2 linked regions of the Daphnia pulex genome follow. The protein of the gene in region 2 interacts with the protein of the main gene of each other region in a biochemical or structural test. Links are inferred from orthologs where the notes say so. Each region holds a gene or a part of one and is shown on either strand. Other genes may lie near its edges.

Region 1 (4,435 bases), about 10 Mb from region 2:
CGGTAGATGCGAGAAGCGTGGACGGCGGGCTCTTCCAGGGAGAAACCAGATGACAGCAGAGAGGTTTCAAACAGCAACATGACCAAATCCTTGACGGCTTTGTCGTTCTTGTCAGCCTCTGCTTTGACGCGAAGGGCTTCGATGATGGGGTGATCGGGGTTTATTTCCAGGTGCTTCTTGGCGGCCATATAACCCATGGTGGAGGTATCCCTCAAAGCCTGGGCCTTCATGATACGCTCCATGTTGGCTGTCCAGCCGTACTGGGAGGTGACGATACAGCAGGGAGACTCGACCAAACGGTTGGAAATGACGACCTTCTCGACCTTCTTGTCCAAGATGTCCTTCATGATTTTGCAGAGACCTTCGAATTTGGCCTTGTCGCTCTCGCGTTTCTTGGTTTCTTCATCATCTTCGGGGAGTTCCAGACCCTCCTTGGTGACGGAGACGAGCTGCTTGCCATCGTATTCCTTGAGCTGCTGGACGACGTATTCATCAATGGGCTCAGTCATGAAGATGACCTCCAATCCGCGCTTCTTGACAAGCTCGACGAAGGAAGAGTTGCTGACTTGATCTCTGTTCTCGCCAGTGATGTAGTAAATGTGCTTCTGGTTCTCCTTCATGCGGGAAACGTATTCCTTGAAGGAAACCTGGTCCTCTCCAGAGGCGGAAGTGTGGTAACGGATGAGGTCAGCGATCTTCTTACGGTTGGTAGAATCTTCATGAACTCCCAACTTCAAGTTCTTGCTGAATTGTTCGTAGAATTTCTTGAAGTTCTCCTTGTCCTCGGCCAACTCCTCGAAAAGTTCCATGCATTTCTTGACCAAGTTCTTGCGAATGACCTGAAGTAGAGAAAAGTAATAATTAGTTTCAGTTAACGATGTTGACAAAAGAAATAGAATAAATTACCTTCAAGATCTTGTTTTGTTGGAGCATTTCACGAGAAATGTTGAGGGGAAGATCCTCAGAGTCGACGACTCCCTTCATGAAGTTGAGGTACTCGGGGATGAGCTCCTCGCAGTTGTCCATGATGAAGACACGGCGGACGTACAACTTGATGTGGTTCTTCTGTTTGCGGTTCTCAAACAGATCGAAAGGTGCACGACGTGGGACGAAGAGGAGAGCGCGGAACTCAAGCTGGCCTTCAATGGAGAAATGCTTGACAGCAAGATGATCCTCCCAGTCATTGGTCAATGACTTGTAGAACTCTCCATATTCTTCCTGGCTGATGTCATCGGGATTGCGAGTCCAGATGGGCTTGGTTTTGTTGAGCTCCTCATCGACAGAGTATTTCTCCTTGATGGTCTTCTTCTTCTTCTTGTCTGTTTCCTTGTCGGCTTCTTCATCCTCACCAACATCTTCGACCTTTGGTTTCTCCTCATTCTCGTCCTTCTTTTCTTCCTCCTCAGCCTCATCGTCGCTCACTTCCTTGTCGCGCTCCTTCTCGACCAAAAGCTTGATTGGGTAGCCAATGAACTGCGAGTGCTTCTTGACAACCTCCTTGACTTTCTTCTCCTCCAGGTAATCCATTTGATCTTCCTGCAAATTAAAGAAAAAACAAATATTAGCATACAGGAAATTAAGCCAGCGAAGACAAAGAAACATACCTTCAAGTGGAGGACAATCTTGGTTCCTCTACCCATGGGTTCTCCGTGATCAGGCTTGATGGTGAAAGAACCACCAGCTGACGATTCCCAAACGTACTGCTCATCATCATTGTGCTTGGAGTGAACTGTCACCTTGTCGGCAACCAGGTATGCAGAGTAGAAACCCACACCAAACTGGCCAATCATGGAGATGTCAGCTCCGGCAGAGAGGGCTTCCATGAAAGCTTTGGTTCCAGACTTGGCAATGGTACCCAAGTTGTTAACCAAATCAGCCTTGGTCATGCCGATACCACTAAAGAAGACACAGTACAGTTAAATAATTGCTCTAATCAGAAAAACTTGACTTCTAAACTTACGTATCACTGAGAGTGAGGGTACGGTCATTCTTGTTGGGGACAATCTTGATTTCAAGATCCTTGCCGCTGTCCAACTTGCTAGGGTCAGTCAGGGATTCATAACGGATCTTGTCTAGGGCATCTGAGGAGTTGGAGATCAACTCACGCAAGAAGATTTCTTTGTTTGAGTAGAAGGTGTTGATGATCAAGCTCATAAGCTGAGCAATCTCGGCCTGGAATGCGAAAGTCTCGGCTTCGGCTTCCATTTGAACTTCTTCAGGCATCTAAACACAGACAAATATATTTAAGTTAGAAACGTTTGTCAATCGTGGTACATTAGACTCAATAATTCAAATTCAAAATATTTTTGTACTAGCGGCATATCAAAAAATGAGTAAATGAGCAATTATTTTTTAAACTTACTTTGCTTTAGAAGATAATTAAACAAGAACACAAGATTGTTTGCAAGAATGGTCTCGTGGAGAGTTTTTCCCGTGTGGAGATGCGATGTTTTTCGCTCAATCGCCGGTTGAAGACTGTGAAGAGTCGAACACGAGGGAGGCCTTATATCAAAGAGGGACCCGGGGAATCCAACGTTGTAGTAGTGGAAGCTACTAGAACAAACCATAGGGGAGGAGGGGGTTCGAATTCTCTCGAAAAATCGAGAATGTTCCTTACCGAAGGAAGTCTTGGTGTTGCCGCTTTCAAACAATTACACACAAACTCATTCAATTTACCTTATTTTTAATTTTTAAATTCACACAAATTCTGTATATTTCTCAAGTATTGGTGGAATTTGAATTTTGAGTGGCTACTGATATTTTTTGAATTATTTAAAATGTTTTCCAAAAAATCGACACCGAGTCTACCGACCATGTGTTTTGACGGATCGTTGATTCGGTGTTCGTAACCGTTTTTAACCGTCAATTCAAGTCCCATCTGCTGTCTAATGCATCTGTTTGTATGAGTTGGTCTGGGATTATCATATTACCAACCAGTTGACACATGCTTACTAATTTTGACTAATAATATCATGTAATGAAATGTTTCAGTTTTTTCTGCATTATTGCTTTTTTCGTAAATAATGCATTCTTGCTTGTAAGAAACGGTGAAATCATAGTTCACCTTTTGCCTTTGTAATAGCGAGTCGAGATTCGAGAAACGTCTAGAAAGCCTCACGTCTGGTAAACCCCACGTGGTTTTTCTTCTTCAGAAATCTTTTGTTCACTCAGTCGATAAGATTACAACGAGTTATAAAGTTTGTAAACCTGTACAACAAAATTCTTGTTGTTATAAATTTTGTACAGAAAAAAAATAAAGAAGATTTTTTTTTTAATTCTTCAGCTTCAGGCAAAACAATTTAATTCAGGTGACAGATAGGAATGCCCTTTAAAGCCTTGAAGTAAACAGAAGCTTGACATTGAGTTCTCCAAGAGCAATTTTATCTTGTGGAATTCACATTAAGGTTTTTACTGAATTTCACCTATGGCGTGTGACTCATAACGAGATTTTGACTAAGAAATTATCATTCTTTCCTTCCAGGCTTCCAGGAAACTTGTTCGTATTTATATCGAAACAGATATTTTCCTTGAATTTAGGCCCCAACGTCGAATGCTGCAGTGCGGCATTAGACACAGGTTTACACACACCGAGTTCCTCTGTTGGGTTTCCTCTATGTCAATGGCCTAGGTTGCCGAACCCAATTCCCTTGTAGAGATCAAGGAATGAAGGTGTGTCATATCAACGTTGCGTAATTGACCTCCAATTGTTGTTATTTATTGCCATTAACCAACTCCCAACATTTTAATCGTAAATGAACTTTATGTAGTAATTATGAGTCGCAAAGGGTGTGACGATTTTAAGATGATGGTAGGCTGTGTGGTGCAAGATGGACTTCCAGCAGTCAAACTCAAACCATCTGGTTTAATTATTTTTATCACAGGTGAGTAGTGACAGGTGTCAGAACTACCAGTGCGCACAATGCACGAACCATGAAATATCTATGAACGTTTCAACACAATATAATTAATTGTTTTAAATAAAAGGCTTTGATGATGTTAGCAAACGATCAATTAATCGATTTCTAAATTAACAGATATCGGAAAAAATTAAATGAGAAAACCTGCAAGATTGTTTGCAAGTTTTGTTCAGAGGAAAACATTTTCTGTCTGCTGGTGTATATTTTATTATTTTGCTTCCTTAATCCTTATCGTTGTTTGGAAGTTGGAAACTTAAAAGATTAGCAGTTTTTACTGGCTGAAAAAAATTTTGAAAGCTATTCTTACTTTTGCTTGTGTAATAAGATGAGATTTTCAAATCAAAACTGTCAATAACAATTCAAGTAGTTAAATGTAGAAAATGCTTTTTTTGTTACATGCAAGTAAGAGTAATTCTTTTAAAATTCAACAAAGTATGTAGAAAAAATTCTACTCAAAACAAAACTGATTAATCAATGATTTTTTGTTGAAAACGATTTTCAAATTGAATCAAATTTGC
Region 2 (3,811 bases):
CTGGTCAAGTCGCTTCTGGCGATGAGCGTCGCAAAGAAAAAGATCGAGTTAAAGACAAGAACAAGGATCGCCGGGAACGTCGCGATCGTTACAAGGATAAGTAAGCAATCAAATTATCGAATTCAACTTCAGAATTTAATGAATAATTTTTCACAGGGAACGAGAGCGTAGGGACTATGTTCGGGAGGATGGTGAACAAGTGCGAGTGAAGGAAGAACCGCCTGATGGTATTGGAATTAGCTGTTAATGAAAAATATCTATTACTAATTTGTGGAATTGAAATTTGCAGATTATGACTATACGGCCCAACAATATGATGGCTATAATCAATATGATCCTGACAACATTAAATACGAAGTGGAAGAGTCGCAATTCCAGACTGAAGAATACTAGCGTATGTTTTTATAGCAGTAACTTGTCTGTTCTTAAGGCTTTTTAACTTTACAATTTTAAAGTGAGGTGAGTATGAAACTGGAGGTAAAAACGTCAAATACACGTTATTCAAAAGCCCCAGTGTATTAATTCATTATTAATGAATATAATAATCCAAACTAGTATTTTAATTTTCTGCAACATTTTCTGCAATATTTCCAGCAACATTTCCGTCGGGTACCCACAATCCGGAGTCAACACATCTTTTCATATGAAACCGTGCTTCTTCTTCAGGTAGTGTTGAAATTGCTTGTTGAAGAAGCTCAATGTTTTGTTTTTCAAAACAATCCTTAAGAACCTACACAACAAAACACATGATTCATATATGTGGAAGGAAATTTATGTGTCTTGCTCAATTATACCTCCGGTAAACTTTCAAATACTTCAACGGGATCCAACCCTCCAGGACCAAGTCGTTTTTTCTTTTCTTCCTCCTCAGCTTCGGCAATTGCAGCTTCTATTTTCTCTTTCGCCCGCCGTTGTATACGGTCTTTGAAAGCTACAAGTTCGTCTTCAAATCCTTTACGATACTCAACATCTGCGATTTGAATTCTAAAAGAGATAAAATAGTAAACAATTCATTTAGTTATAGCTACATAAAGGACAACTTAATATAAAGATAAACCTTGAAAAGAATGAAGACACACATGATCTTGGATCTCTGTTAAGGTGCCTGGATAATTCAAGAATGAATTGCATGCAAATGCACTGATGGGCAACATGTTCCATTAAACTTGTTTTCTCTTCCATTTCTAAATTAATACACCAAATCACGAGATAGTTTGCTGTTTCTTCACAAACCAGCTCTGGATTTTCTTGAAGGAAACGCTTACTATCATCATACTTTTGTAGCATTCCATATGCCTTAAGATTTTTCTCATGTTTCTTGAAAAATTCACGTGTTTTGATTTCTTTCTCCTCTTCAGTGAGCTCTTTCACTTTTTTGGGTTGGTCAACATTGACCACAGTTTTTGAAAATCCAGGTTGACTAATTGTATCTACATTCCTAAAAAAAATATGCAAAAAAACCACAATTAAACTTTGAAATTAGACATCACATTAGGATATATTGAAGTGAATCTTTTAAATACCATGGCATCAACTTTTCCTTTTTTTTCATTTGTTCTTCATGATCTTCGAGTTCAATTTTTTTCGATTCTAATTCACTCAATTGCTTTTTCAAATCTGTCACATCAATACCTTCTTTCATCACCTGTTCATACTTACTTTTAACTTCTTTTAGTTTGGCAGTGTTCCTTTGTTAGAAAAGTTTGATTTAATGTAAACTTTAACAAAAACATTAAAGCTAGTTATTTAGCATTACTCATTTTTTGCTTTGAGAAACAGAGCTTTTTCTTGTTCCATTTCCTTCATTTTTTCTAATCTAGCTTCGTGTCGCCATTTGAACAGAGAAGGCGTGTCAACGTTAGGATGTGTATCATCCTCATCGTCAGATATCTGTAAAGTATTATGAAGTACGTGAGTGTTTAAATGAAACATATAAATAACGAATACTTAATTACGATACTTAATTACGATTAAATACTATACTGACAATAAATAGAAGGTTAGAGAACCCGCAAAAATATGGTAAAATAACAACACAACATTTTTGAAGCAACAATTTACCTCGATATTTTTCCATTTGCTGTAGTCTACCATTTTATTCGCGATAAAGTTAAGAACTTAATGGAAAAGTGGAAAGTGACAGATTATCTAAACGCTAACACTACGAATCTACGATTGTAGACTCGACAGAGTGGTGGCAGAAAACTGAACCTTTGCCTAAGTGATAACTCCAAAGAGGTACACCCCTCTGGCGATGGGTGGAGCTTGTTCCTGAATGGACTAAAGCAACTTCGTCTCTACTAAGGCCATTTTAGCTAAAAAAAGGGGGGTTTTAGTTTTAGCCTTTAGGAAAAATGAACATTATTGACACATTACACACTATTTACATAATAAAACCCGGACAAAATCGTAGCGTGGGATCTTAAAGAAATGAACCATTAAACATTTATATACGGGAAATAGGGGTCTTAATTCAAAAAATTTATTCATTATAAACTGATACTTATTTTATTAATAAAAAATGTCGTGACGATTGCAATCGTTCGATCGTGCGATCACGACCACGGTAAATTTTTAGCGATCGCGATCCAAACTGAAAAACGCGACCGGGATCGGAATTGCAGGCCAGAAATCGCTCGATCAGATTTGCGATCGTCGCTATCTTTAATTAATAAAAAAACCCTTTTTTTAAATAGCACCACCAATAAATTATTGTTTTTATTTTTATATAAAAAATTATTGTTATACATTAAAGTTTATAAAGTTTCAGTGATTAAATGTATTTTTGCAAATTGCTTTGTGCTTTGTCTTGATTCTTGAAAACGTTGGTAATCATTTCCCCTTGCCATCTAGCGGCGATCGCAAAAAAGATCACGACCTTGACATGATGTTTGTTTCTGTTAATCGGGCCGGGCTCGCGGTAAAAAAAAAATATCGGCCACAACACTGTTGATAAAAATGTGTTACAAATTTTTTACATTTTCGTTAACATTTATTATTTTAAAATTAATTTAACAGCGCGACAAAATGTTCGAGGCTTCGAGCCGTGTTTAACACGGAGTTTATGGCGGTTACCATAAACTTAAAATAAATCATTAAAAGACAATTAAAGTAATTCGAATAATACTAAAAGTAATTTTTTGTGTAAACTAATAGCGCTTATTTGTGAATGACGGTTTTTGTGAGAAGTTGATTTTTTGCGTGCTAAACTTCTTTCTATATCTGTTGCTGTGACTTCACATGTTGCGTAGTCAGCATCGCGCAGTACTCTGTTTTCACCTGGGAGTAACTCCCTTTTGAGTCCTCCTTCAAATGCATTCTTTTTTTCCTTCGAATGTCGTTTCTTTTGAGAGTCATATCTTCATTTGTACTATGGAAAAAAGCATTCCGTTGTAGGCTTTAACAAATCATGTTTCTAAACGTGGGCGAAATTCTCTTACTCGTTCGTTAGCTTTTTGTTCAATTTCAGACAGTTCGTTCTTAAAAAATTGATTCTCAGATGGGTCCTTAAATGGTTCTATGATTAAATCTTTCCATTCATTGTATCCAGTAACGGGTTCTGGGTTTTCAGGTTGGCTAAATGTTCCTGGAATGACAGAGCTAATTTTTTGAATTGTTCAGAAAAATAACGTTTTATCTGTTCTTTAAAATCGACTCTCTCGAAATAGGGAATCTTTTCTCTGAGAGGTCTAGATGTTTTTTAGTCCTTCATCGGGTGAGTAGGGTTGGGACCGAAGCGTCTGTTGCGTTTTGGTACAAAATCACTAAGGTGTCAACCCTGACGCACGGCAACGTCCATGACGCGTCGTAT

Evidence for each region. The genes of interacting proteins can lie anywhere in the genome.
Region 1: the proteins of hsp90 co-chaperone Cdc37-like (region 2) and heat shock protein 83 form a complex in vitro, tested with the Caenorhabditis elegans proteins (3 studies listed by BioGRID). The link is inferred for Daphnia pulex from reciprocal best matches to the Caenorhabditis elegans genes cdc-37 and hsp-90.

The regions. Positions count from the first base shown.
Region 1 is NC_060026.1:16,238,471-16,242,905, reverse strand, and holds the start of heat shock protein 83, read right to left. Parts: upstream 2,876-4,435; 5' UTR 2,363-2,875; intron 2,224-2,362; coding exon 1,961-2,223; intron 1,897-1,960; coding exon 1,605-1,896; intron 1,537-1,604; coding exon 907-1,536; intron 840-906; coding exon 1-839. UniProt on the Caenorhabditis elegans protein: Molecular chaperone that promotes the maturation, structural maintenance and proper regulation of specific target proteins involved for instance in cell cycle control and signal transduction. Undergoes a functional cycle that is linked to its ATPase activity.
Region 2 is NC_060026.1:6,136,692-6,140,502, reverse strand, and holds hsp90 co-chaperone Cdc37-like, read right to left. Parts: upstream 2,221-3,811; 5' UTR 2,095-2,220; coding exon 2,062-2,094; intron 1,891-2,061; coding exon 1,757-1,890; intron 1,689-1,756; coding exon 1,524-1,688; intron 1,439-1,523; coding exon 1,058-1,438; intron 985-1,057; coding exon 795-984; intron 731-794; coding exon 560-730; 3' UTR 501-559; downstream 1-500. Other genes in the region: U1 small nuclear ribonucleoprotein 70 kDa-like, read left to right, coding at 1-100, 157-227, 290-393.